Nothobranchius furzeri: one gene and its partners. The protein of the gene in region 2 interacts with the protein of the main gene of each other region in a biochemical or structural test. Links are inferred from orthologs where the notes say so. Each region holds a gene or a part of one and is shown on either strand. Other genes may lie near its edges.

The links.
Region 1: of the proteins of limk2 (region 2) and rock1, one has a biochemical effect on the other in vitro, tested with the Homo sapiens proteins (2 studies listed by BioGRID). The link is inferred for Nothobranchius furzeri from reciprocal best matches to the Homo sapiens genes LIMK2 and ROCK1.
Region 3: the proteins of limk2 (region 2) and rps6ka1 interact in a test that uses a peptide from one of them, tested with the Homo sapiens proteins (2 studies listed by BioGRID and IntAct). The link is inferred for Nothobranchius furzeri from reciprocal best matches to the Homo sapiens genes LIMK2 and RPS6KA1.

What each region holds. Positions count from the first base shown.
Region 1 is NC_091751.1:49,076,930-49,081,027, reverse strand, and holds the start of rock1 (rho-associated protein kinase 1), read right to left. Parts: upstream 2,942-4,098; 5' UTR 2,716-2,941; coding exon 2,623-2,715; intron 1-2,622. UniProt on the Homo sapiens protein: Protein kinase which is a key regulator of the actin cytoskeleton and cell polarity.
Region 2 is NC_091757.1:45,937,365-45,941,014, forward strand, and holds part of limk2 (LIM domain kinase 2), read left to right. Parts: intron 1-253; coding exon 254-310; intron 311-481; coding exon 482-547; intron 548-971; coding exon 972-1,146; intron 1,147-1,226; coding exon 1,227-1,282; intron 1,283-1,454; coding exon 1,455-1,612; intron 1,613-3,650. UniProt on the Homo sapiens protein: Serine/threonine-protein kinase that plays an essential role in the regulation of actin filament dynamics. Acts downstream of several Rho family GTPase signal transduction pathways.
Region 3 is NC_091758.1:28,127,730-28,131,894, forward strand, and holds the start of rps6ka1 (ribosomal protein S6 kinase alpha-1), read right to left. Parts: upstream 2,940-4,165; 5' UTR 2,779-2,939; coding exon 2,602-2,778; intron 1,598-2,601; coding exon 1,481-1,597; intron 1,380-1,480; coding exon 1,298-1,379; intron 132-1,297; coding exon 51-131; intron 1-50. UniProt on the Homo sapiens protein: Serine/threonine-protein kinase that acts downstream of ERK (MAPK1/ERK2 and MAPK3/ERK1) signaling and mediates mitogenic and stress-induced activation of the transcription factors CREB1, ETV1/ER81 and NR4A1/NUR77, regulates translation through RPS6 and EIF4B phosphorylation, and mediates cellular proliferation, survival, and differentiation by modulating mTOR signaling and repressing pro-apoptotic function of BAD and DAPK1.

The DNA of each region.
Region 1 (4,098 bases), on a different chromosome or scaffold from region 2:
ATTTTATCTGTATTGTACAGGCTAATTGTGTTCTTCACACCACAGATCAGGCAGATAAGGCTAATTTCAAGTCCAATTGAGCTACATTTCTAACAACAAGTGGCAGGAAGAGAAAGGTAGCCAAGTAAAGACTTACTTTGTGCATTCTGATGAAAACTATTACAGCCACTTGGCCACTTTATGAGTTGAACGTCCTGATTCACAGCCCTCAGAAACACGAGTCTTTACTCTTCAATTCACATAATTTTGGTTTATGGCAAGAAAGCAGAGCCCACACCCAACTGCCTCAGGGCTGCCTGCCTGTTCTCAACTCCCTCCAGACATGCAGAACGGGCTTTGGGACACGCAGGGAACTCCAGGCTGGTCAAAGACAAGAAGTTACTTGATTAGCGTGGAATTTTATTAAGCTGTGGGTGGAGTAGCATGGTGGCAGAAAGAGCCGGAGCAAAATGCCACCATTCATTGATCAGGAGAGATTGCAGGAAGGGGAGAGAAAAAAAAGATAAACAATCCCCTTGTGTGCGGCTGGGAGTAGGAACAGTTGCCACAGGTTTCTGCTAATAAACATGCCAAGCGTGTGGACTTTTAGGGGAGTTTAATAGCCTCTTTCTGCTAATTTGATGGGAGGTCACAGAAACTAAGCGTGTTTCCGTTTCAAAAGGCTTCTAGCTACAGCAACTTATTCATAACACAAACACTACGACCAGGGCACGTGGTGTTAAGACAAACCACATTCTCAAACAAATTACTACAATTGTATTTTTTATTAGAAATAAATAATTCGTACTACTCCAACTTTCATTTTAGCATTTAAACAATAATTTATAGCATGCTTGAATCCTAAAACTAAGATCCTGTAGTCAAAGACCTTTATTTTAATTTTAAAGCACCCACCAGTAACTAATCACACCAAACACAACAGCCCCTGGGAGTCATGTCGAGCTGAAACCTTGTGAAAACACGTAGTCCAACAATTTCTCAAATAATTGTGATAAACAACCCTCTGACACATGAACATTATCTTGGCATCCACTCCACAGTGAGTGCCCAAGACTGAAGTAATATAAATCAATAGAGGAACTTCCAGAGTGTTAACCCTCCCACTGTCCTAATGAGTGTGACCCCGCGAGGAGGAAAGTTGACCATTGAGCAGGGTTGATGGTTTATCCCTTTGGTCCATGTGGCAGGGGTGAGTAGTGAGAACCACCTCACCCCTGCCACGTGGACCTCAAGGGATAAACCATCAATCCTGTTCAATGGTCAACTTTCCTCACGGGGTCACCCATAAAGACAGTGGGAGGGTTAAGCATGTGGCAAAAGCATCCTTCCATCCTCCTGCAGAAGGGTTGCCAGCAATTAAGACAGGAAGCAGTAAGGTGAATCTTAGTGCAGCTGGAGGCCTGCAGGTTACAACAGGCTTGAAGCAACCTCATCACTTCATGTGAAGCTTGGATACTTATTTCCAAACTAATGATCCAAACAGCACCAAGAGATAACATAAATAAATGTAAATTGCGACAAGGACATATTAGTCCAGACCTGATGATGCAACTTGTTTGAACAACCCTAATCTTAAAATAGATGTGCAAAGTGTCTTTGTCTTAATGAAGCACAAAACAGCTCTCACTCTGTCAAAGTCAAATCTTTGGGTTGTTTTTTCATGCATTTACACTTTTATTGAGCCCTCTTATAAAGAGATTGGTACTAAGAATTTTTATAAAGAGAATAATTGTGCAGACTACAAATTCTTTCATCAAACTTTGATCCTGATTAGACACACAATGCAATACATAAACAAATACATAAACATAAACACTGACAAAACACTCACTCCCAGGGGTCCGAATCAAAGAATCTTAAACATATCCCGAAAAGAGACAAAAAGCAACCACTAAGTCAAATACTACAGAAAAAAAATTAAAATGACTAAAAATATACATAGACAGAATGAAATGGGTATGTACCAGATTTTATACAAATAATCCACAACAAAATAATTCAAATAAGAGACAATGAGACATAAGGAGGCTAAATCATCACTGAATAAGCTGATCCAAACCCATTGAGAATACAAAGAAATATTTGCAACCCAATAGCCAGAAAAAATAACCCTATTGATATTTTTCTTTAAAAAATATTTAAAATGAGCACTGATGAAAATTATTACATTTAAAGCACGTGGATGCATACATGAAGAAAAATATATTAAAAAGTACTAGTAACTATGAAAAATATGAACCCAACTCTACTTGTGTATCACTTGAATCCTGCACTCGTCATATCCAAGAGTACAGCAGTAAACTAAAGTCTACCTCTATTAATATCTGTGCAGTTGGATTTATTTTTAAGGTTTGTTTCCATGTTTGTCCTTTAGTCCGTTGTTTGTGACTAGGCTACTGTCTGAACACACATTTGACATTAACTTTAAAAATGTGTGCTGGTGTGTAAATATCTGAACCTGATAAGGTATGTGGAACAAACCGGACTAAGGGCGTAAATGTCAGCATTTCTTCAGTGACAACAGAGGCAAACTATTGGTGTCGGAAACAATTTATGTTCCAAGGAGTAGACTGACCCCGAGTAGCGTTAGCTACCTGGGTAGCTAACAAGCTAGAAACTTACCAGCAGACAATCCGTGTTAATTTCTGACTGAGGGTCTTCCAATATGGCATCGATTTTCTCAAATCGACTGTCGATACTTTCCACCGAAGACATTTTGCTGTGAAACTCAGTCCGGACGTTGCGTTATTTACGAACAAAAACAGCTCAGCGGCGAGGCGGCTACCTAGCTTGAGCTAGCCAAATGTTCCTTTCTTCGAGTGAACTTTGCACCTCCCTTCAAAGCAAAAACGTCGTTGTCCTCGACTTTTCGCAGACAAAGGTGTTGAGGTCGCAGTTAATGTTCCGCATTTTTGGAAACTAGAAGATGTTAGTTCCAGTATGAGTGGCAAACAACTTCAGTGTCAAAAGATAAATGTGGCGACAGATTAGACAACCTCCGGAGGATGCCGCTGAGGATAAAGGCTTAAAACGTTGGTGCATTCAACGAAAGGCAATTAAAAGGTAAATGCCATGTCTTCTAAAAAAATAAACAGTCTGTAGGAAGCACTAGTCCTGGCCCGTTTCCATGTCAGTAGTAGGCCCTTGCAGGAAAAAACCTGAGTCTGACAGCTCAAAAGTAGAAGTGGTGGGAAAAAAAACTTCTGCTTCTTCCAAATTTCGAAGTTTAAACACGGAGTCCCTTCAACGTTTCAGGTCCTTCCGTTGCGTCCGACTTACTGTCAATGTCTAAGTCTCGTCCACTCCGTTGTACGTCTTAAAGTAAATATAAATAATTAATTAAGTCCGATATGTATTACTTTTTGACAAACAATCGCATACTGTGCACAATTTTCTCTCAGCACGGCTTGGCCAACATGTCCGCCTTCCTGTTCAAACACCCAGGAGGAGCTGGTTGAAAATGTCACGTAGTGCGCATGCGCCCCGCTGAGTCGTGTTTAAAAAATTCGGAGGCAACTTTGCAAAACAATTCAGGAATGAGTTTTAAACATTTGTATTTGCTGTCCACACATGTGAAATTGTCATATTATATCAATGCATAATTCTTTAAAACCCTGACCTAATTTTTTATTTACATATATGAATATTACACACATGCTCTTATAAAAATGTAAGTAATTGTCTCTGATAAATAAGCTTAAATATGCCCCTCATACTCCGATAAAAATATTATTTTGTTACATTAATGTATTTATTCTTATGCAGAACAAACTAGTATGAGCTCTGAGGAAATGAAACGTATAAGATACAAAGAAAGACTATATGATAGTTTTCATTTTTAATAAATTTGGCCTAGAAAAGTCACATTGTGATAAATTATAGGTGATAAAATAAATAAAAAAATAAACAATTCATTGCCATTTTTATTTCTATCCTACCCTTGTATACTTTTACTTGATCTGGAGACAATGTCTTAAAAATATAAATGTGGAGAAAACGAATTTTTTAACGTTTATAATTTGTTTAATACACATTCAGATGATTTTTTAAACTAATGAAATGTTTTCTACAAGTTTTATGTGTGGACTTGTTGCCTTT
Region 2 (3,650 bases):
GACCGCTTCAACACTGCTGAATTAGTAACGCACGTTTTTCTTATCAGTGACAGAAAGGACCTTTTGATAAAAGAAAACTGTAATTAGATTACTCGTTACTGAAGAAACTTTTTTGTTTAGTAACGCCATTATTTTAAACATTTTTACTAGAAGAAATAAGCTAGCTGTGTTAGCGTCTATTCCCAAATTAAGATAATGATTTTATGACATCCAAAGAGCTTTTGTTGATGTTGTTTTCTTTCTTGACCTACAGGATGAGTTTCCATGGGAACAAAGGGTGAGCTTTGCTAAGAGCATTGCCTCTGGCATGGTGAGTTAGCTTCTTGTCTTTGCTGTAAACAAAACGTTTGTCACATTTGTGGAAATGTCTGATGAACCATTTCTAACAAACAGAATTTATATCTGTATTTATTGATGTTATTAGTCTTATTTAATGGAAGTGTGTCACTTTTACAAAATCTGTCTTCTTTTTTCTCTCTAGGCCTACCTTCATTCAATGAACATCATCCACAGGGACCTAAACTCTCACAACTGCCTGGTTAAACTGGTGGGTAGTGTTTTCTATTACAGGAACTAATAAAAGTAAAAAGGTGGAAACTATAAACAAGCTCAACATTTTAAAATAAACATTTTAAAAGACTTCTTTTGTACATTCTTGCTGTGTTTGTCTTCAAATTCCATTTTTGGTTCTTTTTTAAACACAGATAAGGTTTTTCTTTACCTTGCTGACGTTTCGTTTGTGGCTGCAAACATCTTCAGAGCTGGCGCTGATGGTGGCGTCGTTGTCGCCCTCTGCTGCCCACAGATAAACGGAGTAGGAAGTGACGCCACCATCAGCGTCAGCTCTGAAGATGTTTGCAGCCACAAACGAAACGTCAGCAGGGTAAAGAAGAACCTTATCTGTGTTTTAAAAAGAACCAAAAATGGAAAGTTAAAAGACTGATGTTTAATCTTCTGTCCTCTTTCACCAGGACAACACCGTTGTTGTTGCTGACTTTGGACTCTCTCGGCTCATCGTAGACGAGAAAGTGAAGCCTCGCCCTGAAAAACCGTCCACCAAGAAGAGAGTTTTCAGACGGATTGACCGAAAGAAGCGGTACACGGTTGTGGGAAACCCTTACTGGATGGCTCCTGAGATGCTGAATGGTGAAGAGAAAAGTGTTTTTATTTACGGGGAAGAAAACGTTTCAGAATGGGCACAAGCTTTACGATTTTTGTCATTTCAGGCAAAAGTTATGATGAAAAAGTGGACATTTTTTCCTTTGGGATCGTCCTCTGTGAGGTGAGACCTTTTCTTTGGTTCTTAGCTGTTTTTGTGTCTGGAAAACGGGTCAGATCTGGTCAGCAAAACCCTGTTGCCTCACAGATCTAGGGTGTTTTTGTAAAGTACTTGATGTATTCTTACTACTGCTTTCCTTAGTTCATCTCTGATTAATTATTATTTCATGAATCAGATCATTGGGAAGGTTTACGCTGATCCCGAATGCCTCCCCAGAACTCTGGACTTTGGTCTAAGTGTTGGAAAGTTTGTGGAGAAGTTTCTCCCAGAAGACTGTCCTCCGGGGTTCTTTCCTCTGGCCGTGGCCTGCTGCGATCTCACACCAGACAACCGGTGAGCTCCTGCTGTCATTTTAATCAGGGACAATTCACACCATATCCTCTTTTTCTTTAACTGTTATTAGAGAGTTAACTGTTCCCTTAGGTCTTGATTTAAAGTCGGTCATATTGATCACAGTAGCCACGTTTCCACTAGAGGAGTTCCCGGGACATTTCTGGGAGCAGGGAAGGTGACGGGGAAAATACGATAGCTCTATCCTGTCAGTTGTTGTCTCGTACAAAATTGTCTTTCGGGACTTTGCTTAGACATCAGCATTTCGTGATGTTCTGTCAAATCACCATGCATTGTCAGATTGGCGTTAGCGTATTACAGCGTATTCCTATCTGACAGCACCCATATGCTGACAGATCATCATACATTCTTTAAGCAGTATGACACCTTGATGGGTCAGTTTACCCATCAGATCATCATACGCTTTAAGAACAACCATATGATACCTTGATGGGTGGTTAAACCAGTCCGATAATCATACACTTTTTTAACAACCATATGACATAGTGTCTTGTCAGTTTGTTACATTTTAAAGCTTTATTTTCTAAATGTTTTTTTAATTAGAAGGTGGTGAAATAAAAATTTGTGATGCGCCTTCATCAGTTCATTTTTGTTAATAGGTAAACAAACACGATTCACTTAGTGATGCACCGATGGGAAATTTTTTGGGCCGATACCGATATCTGATATTAAGATCACACTGTTATAGCCGATATTTGCCGATATCGATATACTGACATTAATGCTTCTAAAATCAGCAGATTTTGTATGGAATTAAATGATTAAAGCTGAATTTAGGTTATGTACACACATCACACACACTTACACTTGTGAGATGATTACAATCACTGTGACATGACTTAACAAATACACATCACCACCCTCTGAAACAGGCAAACAAACGATGACAAGATGGAAAAAATATCAGTTGACAATATCTGCCCGTTTTTTTTTTTTTAATCGAACCGATACCGATATGTTAAAAATTGACTAACATCAGCCGATACCGATTTTGATGCCGATATGTTGTCCATCCCTAGATTTCCTCATAGTTTGCTGTATGTTGAACTGGCGGCTCCTCAGAACATAGCAGAGGTTTAAATGAATGCGAATGTGCATGCATTTGCATAAACTGCATGTATGCTGCTCCGTCAGAACAAGGTCAGATTAACCCCTTAAATTTCCAGGTTTAATGAATGCAATGGGGTTTTGTCCCATGGGCGGCGCGCTGGCATGCTAAGAGGTTTAAAGTTTTATTCTGTGAAACTACACCATAATTTAATCCATTTGGGGGACAGAGAGTGGTTCTGTGATGTAAAAAGTGGCGTTCAGTGAATAAAGGAAACTCTGTTTTTACGGTGCTCTGCAGTAGATAACAAAGCACCATGAACGTGTGGTGTTTCTGCTGCATTTCCTGGCTCTGGGAGTTTAAAAACAGTTCTTTTAAAGCAGTCTGAATGCTGTTTAGTTTCTTTTTCCTCCGTTCTGCTTCATCAGCAACTCTTCCATCCTTACACATGGCGGTTGTTTGGCGACGTCTGCTGATATCATCTCCTACTGAGTAACAACCAATCAGCATGAGTTAACCACTAGTCCTGCCGAGCGACTCTGCTGGGCCGTGTCTGAGTTCTAATCCCAGTTCGGGTACTCTTTTGGTCTGGAAAGTGGTCCTTTAGGAAAGAAGACACGTGCCGTGAAGGTCCAGTAAAGTTACCTGGATGTTCTTACGGTGGAAACAGGCCTAACAGTTCCCGTTATGGATGTATTTAGAAATATTTCAGCAGATCTTAGAGGTGTATCTTTTCTAGGTTTTTTTCCCTCAAACACTGAACAAGACAAAAGACTAAAACATTTCAGAAAACATAAAATCCCTGTTTTGTTTCCCTTGCTCTGTTTTATTTTTCACACAGTTGGACACATAGTTTTACTCCGTTTTATTTGTGGTGGCGTTTTGTCGGCTTCTGTTGAACCTTTGGGTCATCTTAGAGGAAACAAACACTTTCAGAAGCCACCTGAGCCTCAGACACGCCTCTGCTGCTGG
Region 3 (4,165 bases), on a different chromosome or scaffold from region 2:
TAATATTATTATCTCTGTTTAAGTGATTTTAATACAGCGAGCTGGCTCACCGTAGTGCAGCTTGACAACAAATGGGTGGTTGACGTCTGCAAGGATGTTTCTCTCCATCTTGGTCCTCACGCGGTCTCTGACTGAAGGACAAGAGTAAAAAGTCAATGCATTTTTCTATAAATTCTTCATCTGTGTTATTTGAAAAGAAAATACAAGAGAAGATGGTTTGTTTCTTTTATTCTTTTAAAAAGAACCCATTTCCAATTAAGAAAATCAACAGAACTCAGAAATACGCTATGAAAAGTTTAGATAACTTCTTTTAAAGTTGCAGAAACATGTTTATCGTGTCTTGGTGACATTAACTCAAGCAATATTTTTTTTCCTGGAATTTGAAATAAAATGATTAAAAGATGTCTAGATTTGAAGACAGATGTAAAGTGAAAAAAAAAAACAATTTGTACTGGAAATTTATTCCTGTTAATCAAATAAAAACTACATGGATTAATTAATCTGTGGAAGAAAATATGTTCTATAAATTAAGTTAAAATGCTGCATGGTGGTGCAGTGGTTAGCACTGTTGCCTCGCAGCAAGAAGGTTGCAGGTTCGAAACTCGGCTGTGGCCTTTCTGCGTGGAGTTGCGTGTTCTCCCCATGCAAGTGTGGGTTTCCTCCGGGTACTCCGGTTTCCCCCACAGATCACAACATGCCCTACAAGTTAAGAATTGTATGTCGCTTTGGATAAAAGCGTCTGCCAAATAAATAAACATAAATAAAAAAATAAAAATAAACATAAAATGCATTCACACTCATTAATAAAATGAATAAGACACGCTTCTTAATTTTGATTATTTCTTTGCAGTTTTACTGTGAACACGAAGAAGCATTTCAGCCAGCACATTTTAATTAGAGTTTTGGTACATATTTGCTTCCATATTGTGAAAGAGAAAAAAAATGTTTTGCAAAAAGTGACTGATTAGAGCCGATGAAGATGTCTTAGTTGGCATTCACTTTTGATTTGCACGACCTAAGCTAACCACAACCCTCTGGGAGACCGTGTGAACAGTTTGCACGCCCTGTTGTTTGTTGAGAAGATGAGACCACATCATCTGACAACAACCCACAGAAAGCTGGGGTGGTCTTTGCTTACAGGTGACATTTTTTGGCAGATATGAAACTGAGACTAATAATCACTACAAAAATAAAAAAGATCACAGGAAACCTTCCAAAAAACACAAGAAAATAATAGTATTATTATTAATTTTCATCACCTTTATCAGTTATGGAGGGTTATTCCAAGTGTGTGTACCTTTAAGAGTGGCCTTCTTCAGGACCTTCATGGCATAAAGCTCGTTGGCATCTGGAGGGGTCACCTTCCGTACAAGGAACACCTGCAAAACAAAAACAACCCTTATGCTTCTGGAGAGCGACCGAATTAAACAACGAGAGAAAAATATTTAAAAGTTGGACAAAGCGAGCCTAGGTGTGTTACCTTTCCAAAAGACCCCTGACCCAAAACTTTGAGCAGCTCGAACTGCGAGGCGTCTGCCTTCTCCGAGCCCTCCTTGACCACGTGGGTGATGTTGATCTCCTTGATGTCTCCATCTTCCTACAGAGTGAAAGCACAAAGCAGGTGCGTGAGCTGTAAAAGTAATCTAAGATGGTCGATCTGCAAATAGAACATTTCTGAACAGATGCGTCTTTGGGCATAAATAGAACCGTTTATCAAAATAAAAGCACAGAGAAAGAGGAAGCGCAGTAAAAAGAGAAACTGGTGTGCAAATGTAAGAGATTATGTTCTTATAAATGAGATGCAATGCTATCGAGTTTCTGGAACTAATGGTGACAACGGAGTTAAATGGAATTACCGGAGAACTCTTAAAAAGGAACATGGGTCTAGCGTTTAGTTATTTTTGGTCAAGAGCTGTTAAAACCACAGATTTTGCTCTTTGATCAAGGACTTGTGCAGGTTTATCTCTGGGTGGAGTAACGTTTGCGCTGCTGAAAGCACATAAAAATACCGTCAAAAGATAAAACAAGTTCAGAACGCTTGAGTTTGATGTTTGCAGAGCAGGAAAATATAAATGATGACTCTGAAAAGCAGCAGTGAAAGAAGAAAAAGCACTTTTTCACTCCAATGAAAGGATCCAGCTTGGATTTTTTTAAAACAGATTACTGCACTCAATTTTTTACATTGATTTTAGTTAATGGTCACCAGAAGAGGAAGCACCTACTTCCAACTCATAAACCATAGATGTATTACTGGTAACAAACAAAGGTGGATCTTCTGATGCCCAGACGAGGGACTCATGATGGGGTTTTATTTTTTGTAGCTACTTTAGATTCAGGTTTTTGTGTAATCTTTAAAAAAATGTTACTTGTTAGATTTTAAAAACAACCACAAACCACTGAAGCCTGGATCTGTGTGACAACAGGAAACCAGCCTATCAGCTGCGCCTCGCTTCTGAACAAACATCAACAAAAACACCCTCATTTGCACTTTGCAGTGACAATGCATCTCATATTTCTTCACATAACCTAAAAAATTAGAAAACAACTCAAGTGGGAAAACGTGAAGAAGACAGACGTGAACTTGAGGAGGGATCACTTTACCGTCCACTGGTTCCTTGGTTCGGGTGAAATGTCACCGTCTGCTGCAGCTGAGGCTCTGCAGCCGTTACAGCGAGCGGGACTACCAGTCAGGGATTTGTTCTTTCTGAACAGGTAAAGGGACAGCACGCGGCTCAGCTTGAACTTTTTTTTGTCCTTTTCCATCTCAGCATTGTCCATGCTGTTTTACGCTCCTACCCGCATCCATCACAAGGCGACCGCCGCAGCAGCTCGCACAAATTCATCTCAGGCTCTCTTCAGTGCGAGCACGGCTCAGACTCTCTTGTGCTCCCATGTTAAAGTTGGTTCTGCAGGTGAAAGTCCACAGCATCTGCATTTTATCTACCGTCCTGTTTTTTAACAAAATGCATCTTCTTCTCTTCCATCGTGTCTCCTGTCATCCCTCCGTTTGTGTTGTTCTGGTTTGACCTGCGTGCCCTCTCTGCTGAAGTGAGCTACAGCTAGAATGAACAGGAAGGAAGAGCCTGCTCGTATTCTCGCAGTCCTGCGCCCAACTAGTGGAGCGCAAACACATCTGTGGCCGACACAGACAGAAACAGATAGAATTGCAAGAAAGCAAAAGAGGAGAGGAAAAAGTGTAAGAATAGCTGCCAATCAGACTGAAAAAGCAAAGCAAACACTTAGAAAATACCTCAAGAGCATGAAACTAAGATTGGGTAGGTAGTTTAACATTTTTAAACAAAACTAAAACAAAAATGTTTCAAACTGACTCTCTGACCTTTTCCCCTAATCTGGCCTTTCCAGTAGATGCGTAACAGAAGCGCTTTATCCGCAAACTCTCTTTCCACTGGAGACATGAAACGGTAGGTGGTCTCACAGACAAAAGGGGATTTATCTTTTGCGAACTGGAGATAAGTGATTAGCATGGCGTTCAACCTTACACCACATCGGTGTATTGTTTTAGCTGGTGGTTGTAGTGTTAGCAGGAGTGTGCTAGCATCGCGAGTGCTGGTATCCTACTGGTTTTAGATCTTAACCTACTTGAACTCTGCAGATTCATTTAAAGGGAGTGATTAGCAGTTCCTATAGAACCTGATGAAGGCTGAGGAGGTCATTTGGTAGCTAGAATCAGGTATATCTGAGCAGGAACACACCAAAACCATTACTTTTCCTTCAAAATGTTGTATGAGGCGTGCTTTTCAGCTCCTTCCAGAAGGGAAAGGTGGCGGGCGCTACAGTCGTTCCAATTTCAAAACCGTCTCTTCCTCTCCTTGATGACATCATGCTATGGAGCACAGCTTTAACTTTTGCCACAGTATAAACACAGGAGAGAGAGAGAGAGAGAGAGAGAGAGAGAGAGAGAGAGAGAGAGAGAGAGAGAGAGAGACAGAGACAGAGAGAGAGAGAGAGAGAGAGAGAGAGAGAGAGAGAGATGGAGCACGGATGAAGTGTCCACATTACCGTGACAATTCGGACAACTAACATTTTGGCTGGGTGACAGACAATTTCCTAATTGTGGAAAATCATGTGAACAGCTCCATTCCTGCTCACCTTGTCACCTGAGATGTCTCTATTTTCTTTCCCCTGCATCACTTTTTTTGCTCCT